3 linked regions of the Arabidopsis thaliana genome follow. The protein of the gene in region 3 interacts with the protein of the main gene of each other region in a pairwise test. Each region holds a gene or a part of one and is shown on either strand. Other genes may lie near its edges.

The links. The genes of interacting proteins can lie anywhere in the genome.
Region 1: the proteins of BPA1 (region 3) and PRA8 interact in a two-hybrid assay, tested with the Arabidopsis thaliana proteins (2 studies listed by BioGRID).
Region 2: the proteins of BPA1 (region 3) and PRA7 interact in a two-hybrid assay, tested with the Arabidopsis thaliana proteins (one study listed by BioGRID).

The regions. Positions count from the first base shown.
Region 1 is NC_003074.8:4,494,416-4,498,767, reverse strand, and holds PRA8 (PRA1 (Prenylated rab acceptor) family protein), read left to right. Parts: upstream 1-1,967; 5' UTR 1,968-2,999; coding exon 3,000-3,566; 3' UTR 3,567-3,789; downstream 3,790-4,352. Other genes in the region: CYP90D1 (cytochrome P450, family 90, subfamily D, polypeptide 1), read left to right, coding at 7-128, 354-438. UniProt on the Arabidopsis thaliana protein: May be involved in both secretory and endocytic intracellular trafficking in the endosomal/prevacuolar compartments.
Region 2 is NC_003070.9:20,586,412-20,589,762, forward strand, and holds PRA7 (PRA1 (Prenylated rab acceptor) family protein), read left to right. Parts: upstream 1-1,985; 5' UTR 1,986-2,038; coding exon 2,039-2,608; 3' UTR 2,609-2,788; downstream 2,789-3,351. Other genes in the region: PLDEPSILON (phospholipase D alpha 4), read right to left, coding at 1-1,037, 1,126-1,218; AT1G55200 (kinase with adenine nucleotide alpha hydrolases-like domain-containing protein), read right to left, coding at 2,898-2,996, 3,091-3,240.
Region 3 is NC_003076.8:5,534,052-5,538,779, reverse strand, and holds BPA1 (binding partner of acd11 1), read right to left. Parts: upstream 2,912-4,728; 5' UTR 2,739-2,911; coding exon 2,733-2,738; exon of another isoform or gene 2,026-2,732; coding exon 1,916-2,025; intron 1,757-1,915; coding exon 1,687-1,756; intron 1,464-1,686; coding exon 1,389-1,463; intron 1,276-1,388; coding exon 754-1,275; 3' UTR 530-753; downstream 1-529. Other genes in the region: TERT (telomerase reverse transcriptase), read left to right, coding at 1-66, 184-457; SYP21 (syntaxin of plants 21), read left to right, coding at 3,628-3,836, 4,188-4,281, 4,485-4,621.

The DNA of each region.
Region 1 (4,352 bases), on a different chromosome or scaffold from region 3:
AAATAGGAAAGGGACATGAACACGAGTAGTTTCAGTCCTTTTGGAGGTGGTCAGAGATTGTGCCCTGGTCTCGATTTGGCTCGTCTTGAAACTTCAGTTTTTCTTCACCATCTTGTCACTCGCTTCAGGTAACTATCAGTTACATGGATACAAAATTATTTAATATTTGTTGTAATCTTTAAATTTCAAAACAAACAAGAGGGTGTGGTAATTAGTGCTCTACACTTTAGACAAAATGGTACGTTCGGACCAAATAAATCTAAATGTCTAATCTCTTTTTGACAAGTTGGACTTAACTCTTAAACGATATACAGAGACTTATTTGAAAATATGTTGGTGATTATGATATGCAGATGGATAGCAGAAGAAGACACAATCATAAACTTCCCAACGGTGCATATGAAGAACAAATTACCCATTTGGATCAAAAGAATATAAATCATTTTTCTTAAGTGAAAAATGGAGAATCAGTTTTGCATTATCAAACTCTAAAAGGTTAAAGAAGTCACACGAGTGTTTTGTAAGTGGGAAGTGAAAAAGATAGTGAGACAGCAAAAGGTAAGAAAAAAAGAGAACATGATGGAGTTTGGAGACAAAAAATGATTCACACGTGTGGAAGACGATAGCACACATGCCAACTATTTTGTCGTATTCCTTCACAAGGCAAATAAGGACAGAATCACAAAACCTTTTTGTTGACCGTATATATATATATATATATATATTTTTTTTTTGAAGTACAAAGGTGTATGATAATTATGCATATGATATAGAATCCTAATTTTCATGACTATTTCCTCTCTCTCTTTTTTTTTTTTAAATGTTAAGGACGACTATTCCTCTTCGTATATTAAATTATTAACTAAGAAAATCATTACAGAAAAGTTATAATTCTGGTTCAATCATTTATATATTTCCAAAAGAATGGTCTAATAAAGATATTATGATAGTCTACATCTATTTCAAGCAATTTTACAGTTTTTTTGCTAAATATGTTAATATCATTAATAATGAAGTTGTGGCGTTACAAAGAAAACCAGTACAAAAGCAACTTTGGCAAAAAAAGTAAAAACAAAGCTACAATAGATTTAGGAAATTTTTGAAGACATTAACGGATCCAGAGAAGCATTAGCTTACGCCAACGCTTCCTAAGCAATTTTACAGTTACTAGTTATTTTTTTAATTTTTAACTGGGTGATGGTTTTCTCTTTTCTGAATAGTCTCTAATAGTTTTAGATGTAATAATGAATGATTAAGCAAAGTCATATTATTTCTCCTCCACTTATATGATATGATGTAATTAACATAACAACCCACTGAAATTGATTTAAACAACGTGACAAGACAAGAAAGTTGTGTTGTTTCAACTGAACATCACTAACAACCAGATCTAACCACTAATTGTACTATATTACATTTTTCTCACTATTGTAACTACGAGTTGTTTATGTTAACACAATAGCCTTTAGAATTGATTTGGATAAGAGGGCTTCACTTTTAAGAGATCCATCCGTTAAGCCTGTTAAAGGCCCAAAAGTTGCATAATAGAAAAGCCTATATATTGGCAAAGACGGGCAACTGTTTAGGCAAATAGGTATTTCTTATGTTATCGCCGCCGTTGAGCCTTTTCTTGTTTTTATTCCCTATTTTGAGTTTTTCAAGACCTTGATTTTCATTTATTGTTAGTTATTTCTCGTTTGGCTGATGATAAGTCCAGCCCGAAATTCCGTTGTTATAGCTTTTTTTTGGTGAAGTTTGCATGGCCATGGAGAACACTAACTTTTTTTTTCATGTAAGTAGACAATTTCAGAGATACTAATCCAAGAGATGGCGGATACGTTTTACAATCACGAATCTTGTATGATCACTAACCATTGGAACAATAAGAGTATATAATGAGTATATCACCATTTAGTTCTAGTGGGTGGTGATCATATAAGATTGGTAATGGTAACAGTGAAACATATCCCCCATCTATTGGGATTAATTAGTCTCCCTGAACAGTCGTGAGAGAACCTTTGTTTGCTGCGGCAGACACTAGAGACTGTTGGAAGACCTTGAGATATACAAAAATGTAGAATTATTTTGAAAATAGGTGATGTGGATCTGGTACTACTTGATTTACATATATGTATTTGCTTCTCTGCTTACTTGTAACGAAAGCTACATTATATAATATACCTTTGATTTAAGCAATCTTGTTGAATAGGTTTCTCTGGTTCTTATGGAGAAAAACTTAAGATTTTTGTAATCCATCATACATTTTGGTATAGTTTTGATCTTATATGTATTGTGCTTTGACACAAGCTAACTATTTTCTTGTTTCACAGAGCGGGATCAATTCTAAAGCAGCCATGAGTCTGGCTCGCTAAAGAAGCCTATCGATGTGGATCGTCCAATGGAGAGAGAGCATGTGACATGAAACCTTCGTTGTATTGGGCCAATATCTTTTGTAATTGGGCTGACTAAAAATCATGATAAAGTCCGAGGGAGACTATAAATAATTTACTCATTGTTCCTGCCGACATTACACGTGGCGAAAGAGTAGTTATATGCCAGAGAGACTCCTCTAAAATGGGGTCACGTGTAGCCTGTATCGACTATTCAATAATGCCACTCTCGCTCGGTGACACCGTGTCTCTTACTTTATCATTAGTCTTTCAAATTAACTATATAGTCCTTCAACATGTAGTAATTCATCTACTTATAAATTGCTGTTACCCAAATCTCGAGTATCTAAAACTTATACTTTTCAGACATTGACCAAGTAGTGAATCAAATCCTCACGTTACACTATATTGTAATCTTTTTAAAACACGATCTAATTAAATTTTGTTTTATTTCATAAACATAGATTAGTTTAGAAAACGCCATATGCAAATGTGTATCACCTAATTCTTGGGACCTTTCAGAATTCATATATACACATAACAAACAGTCTTTTCATTTACTTTCTCTATTCAATCTCACACGCGCTAAACCATAACCCGATATTACTAATGACGAACTACGGTGCGATTCCGACGTCGTCTCATGCATCTCCGTTGGTGGATGTCGAGTCTCTCTCACGCGCTAAACACCGTATCAAAGCCGGGCTAGCCACGCGCCGTGCTTGGAGAGTGATGTTCGATTTCCACTCCATGGGACTGCCTCACGGTGTCTCCGATGCGTTCACAAGAATCAAGACCAATCTTGCTTACTTCCGTATGAACTACGCAATCGTTGTCTTGATCGTTATCTTCTTCAGCTTGATCTGGCATCCGACATCGCTCATCGTCTTCACCGTCTTGGTCGTTGTTTGGATCTTTCTGTATTTTCTCCGTGATGAGCCTATCAAGCTGTTCCGGTTTCAGATCGATGATCGGACGGTCTTGATTGTTTTATCGGTGTTAACCGTCGTTTTACTCCTGTTGACCAACGCGACGTTTAATATTGTTGGAGCGCTTGTGACCGGAGCTGTGTTGGTTTTGATCCATTCGGTGGTTAGGAAGACGGAGGATCTTTTCTTGGATGAAGAAGCGGCGACGACTGAGACTTCTGGGCTGACGTCATACCCGTCGACTTAAATCGTTTCATCTCGAAATTTGTGTATCTTTTCTATTTTTGTATATTATCTTGTTTTTTTAATTATGCGTAATCAATTTTTATTGGTGTGAGTTTGGTTTGAGACTTTCTCTCTCTCTTTTGTTTTCTGAGTTTTGAGCTCTGTCTGAAGTTTGAACAATTCTAATTTGTTATAATTTTTATTACTCCCTCTGTCCATAAAAGATAAATTTTTTAGGAAAAATATTTGTCTTACAAAGATAGAAATTTTATATTTGCAATGCAAATTTTAAAATTGTTTTCCCGTTTTACCCTTACTAAATAATTAGATAAATATTTATTATTATTTTTAAAATATATTAAGAGGTTAAAATTATGTTTATACAATATTTCTTAAAAAATGTGCAATTTCTAAAAAATTCATCTTAGTGGGACGGAGGGAGTATTTTATATTCGCAAAACTCAGGAATAATTTCTTGGAATGATTTATTAATCTGAAATATTTAAAATGATTTAATCTGAAATACATAATAAATAATCAAATTAATAAGTCAAACATTATAAATTCAAAATGGGTTGTAATGAATATTCCCTTTTTGCATTCCGTAACAAAAAAATAATCAATTTTTGTTGTAAAGTTTATTCAGGTTGGTTCACCTTCAAAGTAGGAAAAAAAGTTTGGTCTTGATTTAAGTTCTTTTTTCATTTGGGTCACACAAATGAGCAATTTGAAGCAAAAATCCTTGATATATATGCAGGCCTTATTCAAATTTCCAATGTAAAGATTTGAAGCAAAAATCCTTATATAT
Region 2 (3,351 bases), on a different chromosome or scaffold from region 3:
TGCCATGGCTCTCTTGGTCCGCCTCTACTTAGCTTAGCTCCAGCTACACTTGTCTGGTAAAAATCAGCTTCTGTTCCGAGTGTACGAAACAGTGAATGCTCCTCAGTGTCATATCGACCATCGCAAAGGTCAAACCCGCCAAGGAAGCTCATGATCTCTCGCTCCTTCGTGCTTGAATTTGTCACCCGTGTATCCAGTGTTATTGTCTTTTGGTGGTGTGCAAACGCTGTAGGGAGCTTTTTGTGCAATCTTGGACACAATCTACAAACAACGTTTGTGTTTCTGAAGTAAGCAAGAGCTCTTTCGACGTTTGTTCTCATTACACCTTTGTTCTTGATCATTGGTAAAGACGTCTCGTCGTTCCACAACATTACTCTCACCGCTACACCTTCCTCTGATTTCCGTTTCAGAAGCTCGCCAACCGTTACTCCAACCGCATGTGGAATCTCAGTTTCGTTGTCGCGTACAAGAACAAGATTAGGGTTTAGTGCCCATCCTGCAATGTAAACCAAGTGCCTAGCACTTTCGATCGCTTTGTAAACATCTTCCCATAGATTCCTTGCATTAAAAGGAACATCATCAACCCTTGGATCAAATGTGGCCTTGTGGTGTGCATCTTGATACAGTACGACTCTGCAGTTCGATCTTTGAGGGAAGCTTGCGTTCCTAATACCTTGAAAAGACGCTTCTTCAAGCGCTCTGCACCATCCCGGTTCAAGATAAGCCGGTCTGAACCACATCAAACACTTAAGCTTCAAGTTACGTTTCGTTGACCCATTGTCTGCAATCAGAGGGAAGAACCCGTTGATAACTGCTGAATTAGATGTCAGGATCTGTTCTGCAGAGATTCGGAATCTTCCGAGAACAGAACATCGAGTCTTGAGCGTGATGGTGATAGTCGTGTCAGTAACCGGGTGAGCGCAGAGGATCTGAAAAGTCTGATTCCAAATACGGTCGTATTCTGAGCTTGTTTTAGCAACTTTCTTCTTGTTTATCTTGATGGTCACGTAAGCTGCTTTTGGCTTTGTACATATACACTGTGAACAAAGATAACAAAAGCTCATGAAAATGAACACAATGATAACATCATCAGAGTCACTAATTCAGTATATGATATAGACTTACATTGAAAGGAAATGGAGGAGAAAAAGGTGTTGCATCGAAGATTGTAATCTCTAGTGTTCCATGAAAGTACTTCTTCTGTTCTTCAAGCTCCATCTTCTCTTTATTCAAAATGTATCTTTAAGAGAATGAGAGATAATTTTCTGTGAATTGTCAAGTATGTGTTTGAAGCTGGTCAATTACAGAATGCACAAGGTTATGTCCATCCATATATGTATATGTATTTGTTAATGTTTTTGGTGAAACTTGTAGGATTCTCCATGGACAATCTTAAAGAAAACATTCAACCATATAGATGACAAAATCGAAGGTGAAGTGTCTTTGAATACAAATCAAGCATTCGACTTCGGTTTTTAAAAATAGGAATTTTAAAAAGCAAAGTGTTAGATGGTATTCAAACAAAAGGTTGGGACTAAAATGTGAAAGCATGAAAATATCTGGTGGAGTTTGTAAATATTTGTGGGGATAAGCCACGTGCAGCAACAAAGCGCTGCCAAAGAAACCACTCGGTCGCAGTTTCTTTGGTGAACTAATAATATGAAATTTTTATTCTGCCGGAAAAAAAAATTAATCCTTCTAATGAATAAAATTATGCTGTTTACAAGTAATTAATCAGATTTATGTTTTGAAAATGACAGAGAATATAATATGCTGTACATTTTCCTAAGAATATGTCTCTATGATGCTGACTGTTAAACACATATAATACCAATATTGTTACCATAAATGTACAGTTGCAAAACAAATAAAAAATTATTACAATATAAAGCATTTATGTATTTATTGGGCATGTAACAACTTTTATCCATATGTGACATTTACATTAGCACCATCACCTAATCCATAGGGACACTGAGCAATTTATAAATTATTACAACCAACAAAAAAAAAAGCTTCGTGTCTCTCTTCTCCAAAAATGACGAACTACGGGGCGATTCCGACGTCGTCTCATCCATCACCGGCGATAGATCTCGAATACATCTCACGCGCCAAACACCGTATAAAATCCGGTCTAGCTACGCGCCGCCCATGGAAATCAATGTTCGATTTCGAATCAATGACTCTCCCTCACGGTTTCTTCGACGCGATCTCGAGGATCAAAACGAATCTCGGCTATTTCAGAGCTAATTACGCCATCGGAGTTCTCTTCATCCTCTTCCTAAGCCTTCTATATCACCCAACCTCGTTGATCGTGTTATCAATCTTGGTCGTCTTCTGGATCTTTCTCTATTTCCTCCGTGACGAGCCTCTTGTTGTTTTTGGTTATCAGATTGATGATCGGACGGTTCTTATTGGTTTATCGGTTTTGACGGTTGTGATGCTTTTGTTGACTCACGCTACTTCGAATATTCTGGGATCTTTGTTAACCGCCGCCGTGTTGGTTCTGATTCATGCGGCGGTTAGAAGAAGTGATAATTTGTTTCTTGATGAAGAAGCTGCGGCGGTTACTGAAGCTTCAGGGCTGATGTCATACCCTTCGTCGTAAATCCAAAAATTTGTTTTTTTTTTTTGTATGTTACTGAGTTTGGTGCGATTTGAGAAAACTTGACATGTTCTTCTACTTTGTTCAATTTGTTGACAACAGTACAATTTTTGAGTATGTTTTGTTGGTTAATTACGTTATTACATGATTAGCACTACAAACACTAATCACTTTGGATAAAGCTACTAAAAAACCATAATTGTCAATTAAGAGGACTTTGATTTTACAAAATTCTTCTATTGATCCTACGCACTATACCAAAAGAAAGTGATCAGATTGGCTAGTTGAGCTTTTAGTTATGATCTCTGAGACCTTTCTCAGTGGATAGTCTTCCATTAAACCTCCCTGAGATTTCATTCATTAACATATCTCCTTCCAATAAACGCAACACCTTCAACAACAAGCAAAAGAGCAGACACACTTGAGAGAGTTTTATTGACTTAAAGAAATGAACATGTTTCAAGAATGGTGAATCTTTTCTTTACCTGAGACATGCGAGGACGCAAATGTGGATCTCTACGTATACACAATGAAGCTGTATGAATCATGCAAATGACTTGTGTTTCTGAATATCGCTTTTCGAGCCTCGGATCAACTAATTCCTCAACCGCATACTCTTCTAATAAAGATCTTGCCTGCTCACAAAGAAAATAAAATAACAAAATGAGCTTCAAGAAAGAAACTTTTAGATTTCATTTACAAGAAGAGACTGAAAATGAGCTAAGAAACCTTAAAAAGAAGAAACT
Region 3 (4,728 bases):
CGAGGTGTCCCGGTTTTGGAAGCTTCATCCTCAAACTTTGTTCAAATTCATCACAATATCTGTCAGGTATGGAATCAAAACTACATCATATGTCTGTGAGCATTTCGGTTTTTGGATCATTCTGATTTGAGTTATTCGGTCTTTTTTTGCTTATTCGGTTCTTGATTTCTTTCCAACTGATAGGTACATGTTCAGACTCATAAATAGAAGGGTGCGCAGAATCAACACTGGTTCTAGTTTCAGACCAGTTCTTAAACTATACAAAGAAGAAGTGATATGGCTTGGCTTAGACGCTTATATTCAAGTTCTGAAGAAGAAAAACTCGAGATATCGAATGCTCTTGATCTATTTAAAATCTGCACTTTCTAAACACTCTCTTTCTCAGCAGCTATCGTCGGAATTGAGGTATGCAACAGACCGGTCAAACTCTTCTTCGCTGTGGAAGTTGAATTATTGAAACTGATCTTAACTAGATTTTATCATCGAAACTTAGGTAGATCCTTTAAATTTCTATTTCAGTCATTTTGATAATCTAGGAACAAAATGGATTTGTAACATTTAGGGTAAAGAAAGATTTAAATGTCAACTTATTAAATATGTATATTGGAAAAAACCCAAACTATAGTCTAATAGTGGTAGGGAAAATCCAGGCATAGCTTATATGGTACATCCCAAAGACCAAACCAGATTTCCAACTTCCATGTCAAAGAAACCAACAAGGAGAAACAAAGGAAACTGTTTAACTTGATGATATTAGTTCTTCGAGTATTCGGACGAATGAATCGGAGAATACCCTTCTGGCAGTTGCTGCTGCGACTGTGCTGGTTGCGATGGTTGCTCAGCTTCAACCTTCTCTTTTGTTTTCTGTCCAACCTCTCCAGCTGCTTGAGCCACTCTATTGAATGCTCCTGCGGCCCAGCTCACACCAGTTAACACGTAACGGTTCTTCATCACAGCGCTTCCTGCACTGCTCACAGTCTGCTCCGCAGCTGCATACACAGACTTGGTCCTCTCTGTTACCTGAAAGTTTTGGTCCACCGCCTTGATTTTTTCGTTCACCAAGCTTGTTCCAGCTGTAAGTTTCTGGCTAAGACCGATTTTTTGGTCTAGTGAAGCAACTCCTGCGGTGGCGGTTGAGGTGAAACCATGTTTCTCATCAAAAGCTTTTGCTTTGCCGACAGCATCTTTCCCAAGAATGAAACCCTTTGCTAACATGCTGCTCACAACATCTTCTGCCTTCTGGACAACAGATTCTGCACCGCTGCTCTGTGTTTCCTGAGAAAATTAACACAAATTAACACCTCTACGAAATTACTGCTCTATTGAGTGTTGAGATGAATACTTTTCACTAATCAAAAAGAAGAAAAACAGTATGAAGAAGACATTACAGCATGAGGGGCTGCTGGTGGACTGTAGTTGGGAGCCAACTCAATGATGACTGATTGATCGGCAATACTCGCTCCCTGAAATAACACCCCTTGTTAGTAATGCAAATTGCAAATGGTCCCAAATATTAGTTGTAAGCAAACTAATTTTACTTATAAATACTCAGAGATACTTTGTCTGGACTAGAGAAGTATAACCATATTAAACGAAGGTTTATAGACATGGATTGATTACTAAATTAACAGTGTTATGTAAGAGTTGAATGCTACTACAATAATATTGAGATAAGAGTGAACCCACAGATAAGAGCACAGCAGTCTCTGCTCCTTGAGTTTCTTTAAATGTGACATAAGCACTATGCTCGTTACTGCTAGTTAGAAAAAGAAAACAAAAACAAAGCTCAGAGTCAGTAAGTTTAAGAGAACTGTATCTAAATTTGCTGAGAAAAAGCTTCGGAAGTTAATTGATCAAAAAAAGCTTTAAATGTCAAAATTTTGAAATCAAAGAACAAGGAAACAATATCACTAACCTTTGGATATCGATGCTTTCAACTTCACCAGAGAAAGAGAAAAACTCTTTAATATCATGCTCAGTTGCTCCTGAAGAGAGATTGCCAACTTTTACTGACCTTACCTGTGACTGTCATCATAAAGAATCAAAAGGGAAAGAATCATTAACGAAAACAATAAACAGGTGTTTCATGAGAATGTTTACAGTACAACTACTTTTTGTATCCAAGCATATCTAATCGACCGAAAGTCCCATTTTAATCAAATCAGCTCAAACTCAAAGAAGCCTAGATTTATCACAAGATTATACAATTATGCAAGTAAAGGGATAATATTATAGTGGCTTAGAAGATGACTGTCATCATCTCACTATACAAAAAGAAAACTCGAATGAACCATGAAGGCTACCAATTAAGGAAACTAATCGACAATGTATGGAGGAATCTAAAAGTAAATTGGCTAGCGAGATTCGGTTCCAAATTGAGAATAACACAATCGCGATTTACTACGATAAACGAAAACCAAAACCGAGAAATCAAGGAGATAATAGAGATAATTGCACGAATACAGATCACACAGAGATACAGAATCAATTAATAACGACAATAATAATCATCAAACTCGTCCAAATAGCATTGGAGATATTATGTCGGCAAGTGCAGCAATCAAACAACAGATCATCCAAATTGAAGAAGAAATCAAATCAATAGCCAAAAATATCAATCCTGAGAAAATTTCCCGATAAACAAATGGATCGCAACAATATCTACCAGCAGAGGAAACCTAAACCTTTTCCGCATAAAACAAAATTATACACAAAAAAAAAGTAGAGCATACCGCCATGGATGTTGATCTTCGAAGTCGCGCAGAGAGAGAGATATGTAATTTGTTGCTTTTGTCACGCAGATTCAGAGATTGGCCTGAAAACCGAAACGTACTTCGAGATCGATGATGCGTAGATAGATAGAGAGGGAAGAGTGTATTTTGCTTTATATGACACCTCACACTCAACGTGTGGGTTTGCGTTACGCCCTTTAATCCTATTTTAGTCCCTAATTGTTTCCAACAATTAATATTTTCACTTTTTTAGTATATATTTCTATTTTTTCCCTCTTCAGTTCAAAACAAAAGTTAGGAGTTTCGTAACACAATTATTAAGTTTATGTTTTATTAGAAAAAAATACATAAAAATTTTACTTTTTATCAACAAAAATATATCATTGTTTTTCTATAAAAAGTGGTTTATGTATCAAAGTGATTACTGTAATTATTAATTCAGTCATAAAATATGATAACTTGGTAATTACAAAAAAGTTGGACTTCTCCTTGTTTTTGGCCCAACTCTTCTCTTTTCCTTTTACTAAACTCCAATGTAGCCCAAAATCATTTAACCAATCCTTATCCTGCAAACCCACTCAATTGGTCCGGTTTACTCGAACCGAGTTTCAATTTTACACGGAAGGGCAGGTGAGGTCAACAACGACACGCAGGATTCTTCCCTCGCAATGGCGTGTCACCGCCAAATAATTTATACGTATTAATAAATTCCCTCCACCACCATATTCACGCGGACCACATGAGATTAAATGATTTATACAAATTATAAAACAAAAATTAACATTAAATTTTGGGAAAACTTATAATTCACCTAACTCATTTCCATCATCTTCGTCTTCGTTTGTTCCCCTGAGATAGAGATAAGAGAATTTCGAGAGATTCGAGAGAAGAGACGATGAGTTTCCAAGATCTCGAAGCTGGTACTCGATCTCCGGCGCCGAATCGTTTTACCGGTGGGAGACAACAGAGACCTTCGTCTCGTGGGGATCCATCTCAGGAGGTCGCCGCCGGGATTTTCAGGATCAGCACGGCTGTCAATTCCTTCTTCCGCCTCGTTAATTCGATCGGAACACCTAAAGATACTCTTGAATTACGAGATAAGCTGTCAGTAGCAATTCTTAATCACACTCTTCTTCTCTTTGTTAAATCTCTGTTGATTAGGGTTTTGGTTTTACTTATTGATTTTGGTCGATTTCATTTCAATTTTTAATTGAAAAAGTTTTCTAATTGTTTTGAAGCTAATCCTGCATTATTTTCCCTTAACCGAAGAACAAATTTGAGTTTGCTGATCGATGTGAGACAACATTGCAAATAATGCCTGACAACATTGCAAATAATGAGCTTTTTGTGTGTGTGTGTGTGTGTGTGTGTATTGAGAAATTGTTTTTTTTTTAGATTGGTTTCATCTATTTGTTCTGTGAATTGTTTTAAAGTGTTAGGTTCTTTTGTTGGCAGGCAAAAGACAAGGTTACAGATATCCGAATTGGTGAAGAATACTTCAGCTAAACTTAAGGAAGCTAGCGAAGCCGACCTTCATGGATCAGCTAGTGTAAGCAAATGCTTACTTTTTTGTTTCATTCCCTTACGATGCTATGGAATGTTAGTGTCTAAGAGAACATTTTCTATTGAACCAGTTTTATTTTGGTTTAATTTTGTCAGAATCGTACCATTTTATTCATTTAGTGGGAGAATTGTTTACATGATTGATGATATGTGTATTCTAGTTTTGATGTTATGTTTGTATTCTTGCAGCAAATTAAGAAGATAGCTGATGCTAAACTGGCAAAAGATTTCCAATCAGTTCTCAAAGAGTTTCAGAAAGCTCAGAGACTTGCAGCTGAAAGAGAAATAACATATACTCCTGTGGTCACAAAAGAAATACCTACCAGGTAACCACTTTGACCAGTTATGTTTCAATACCTGTTAAAAAACAGAAGATCATGGTAAATGAATCTCGTTGTTTCCTAAATGAGAAGAAAAAAAGTCTCCGGATTAT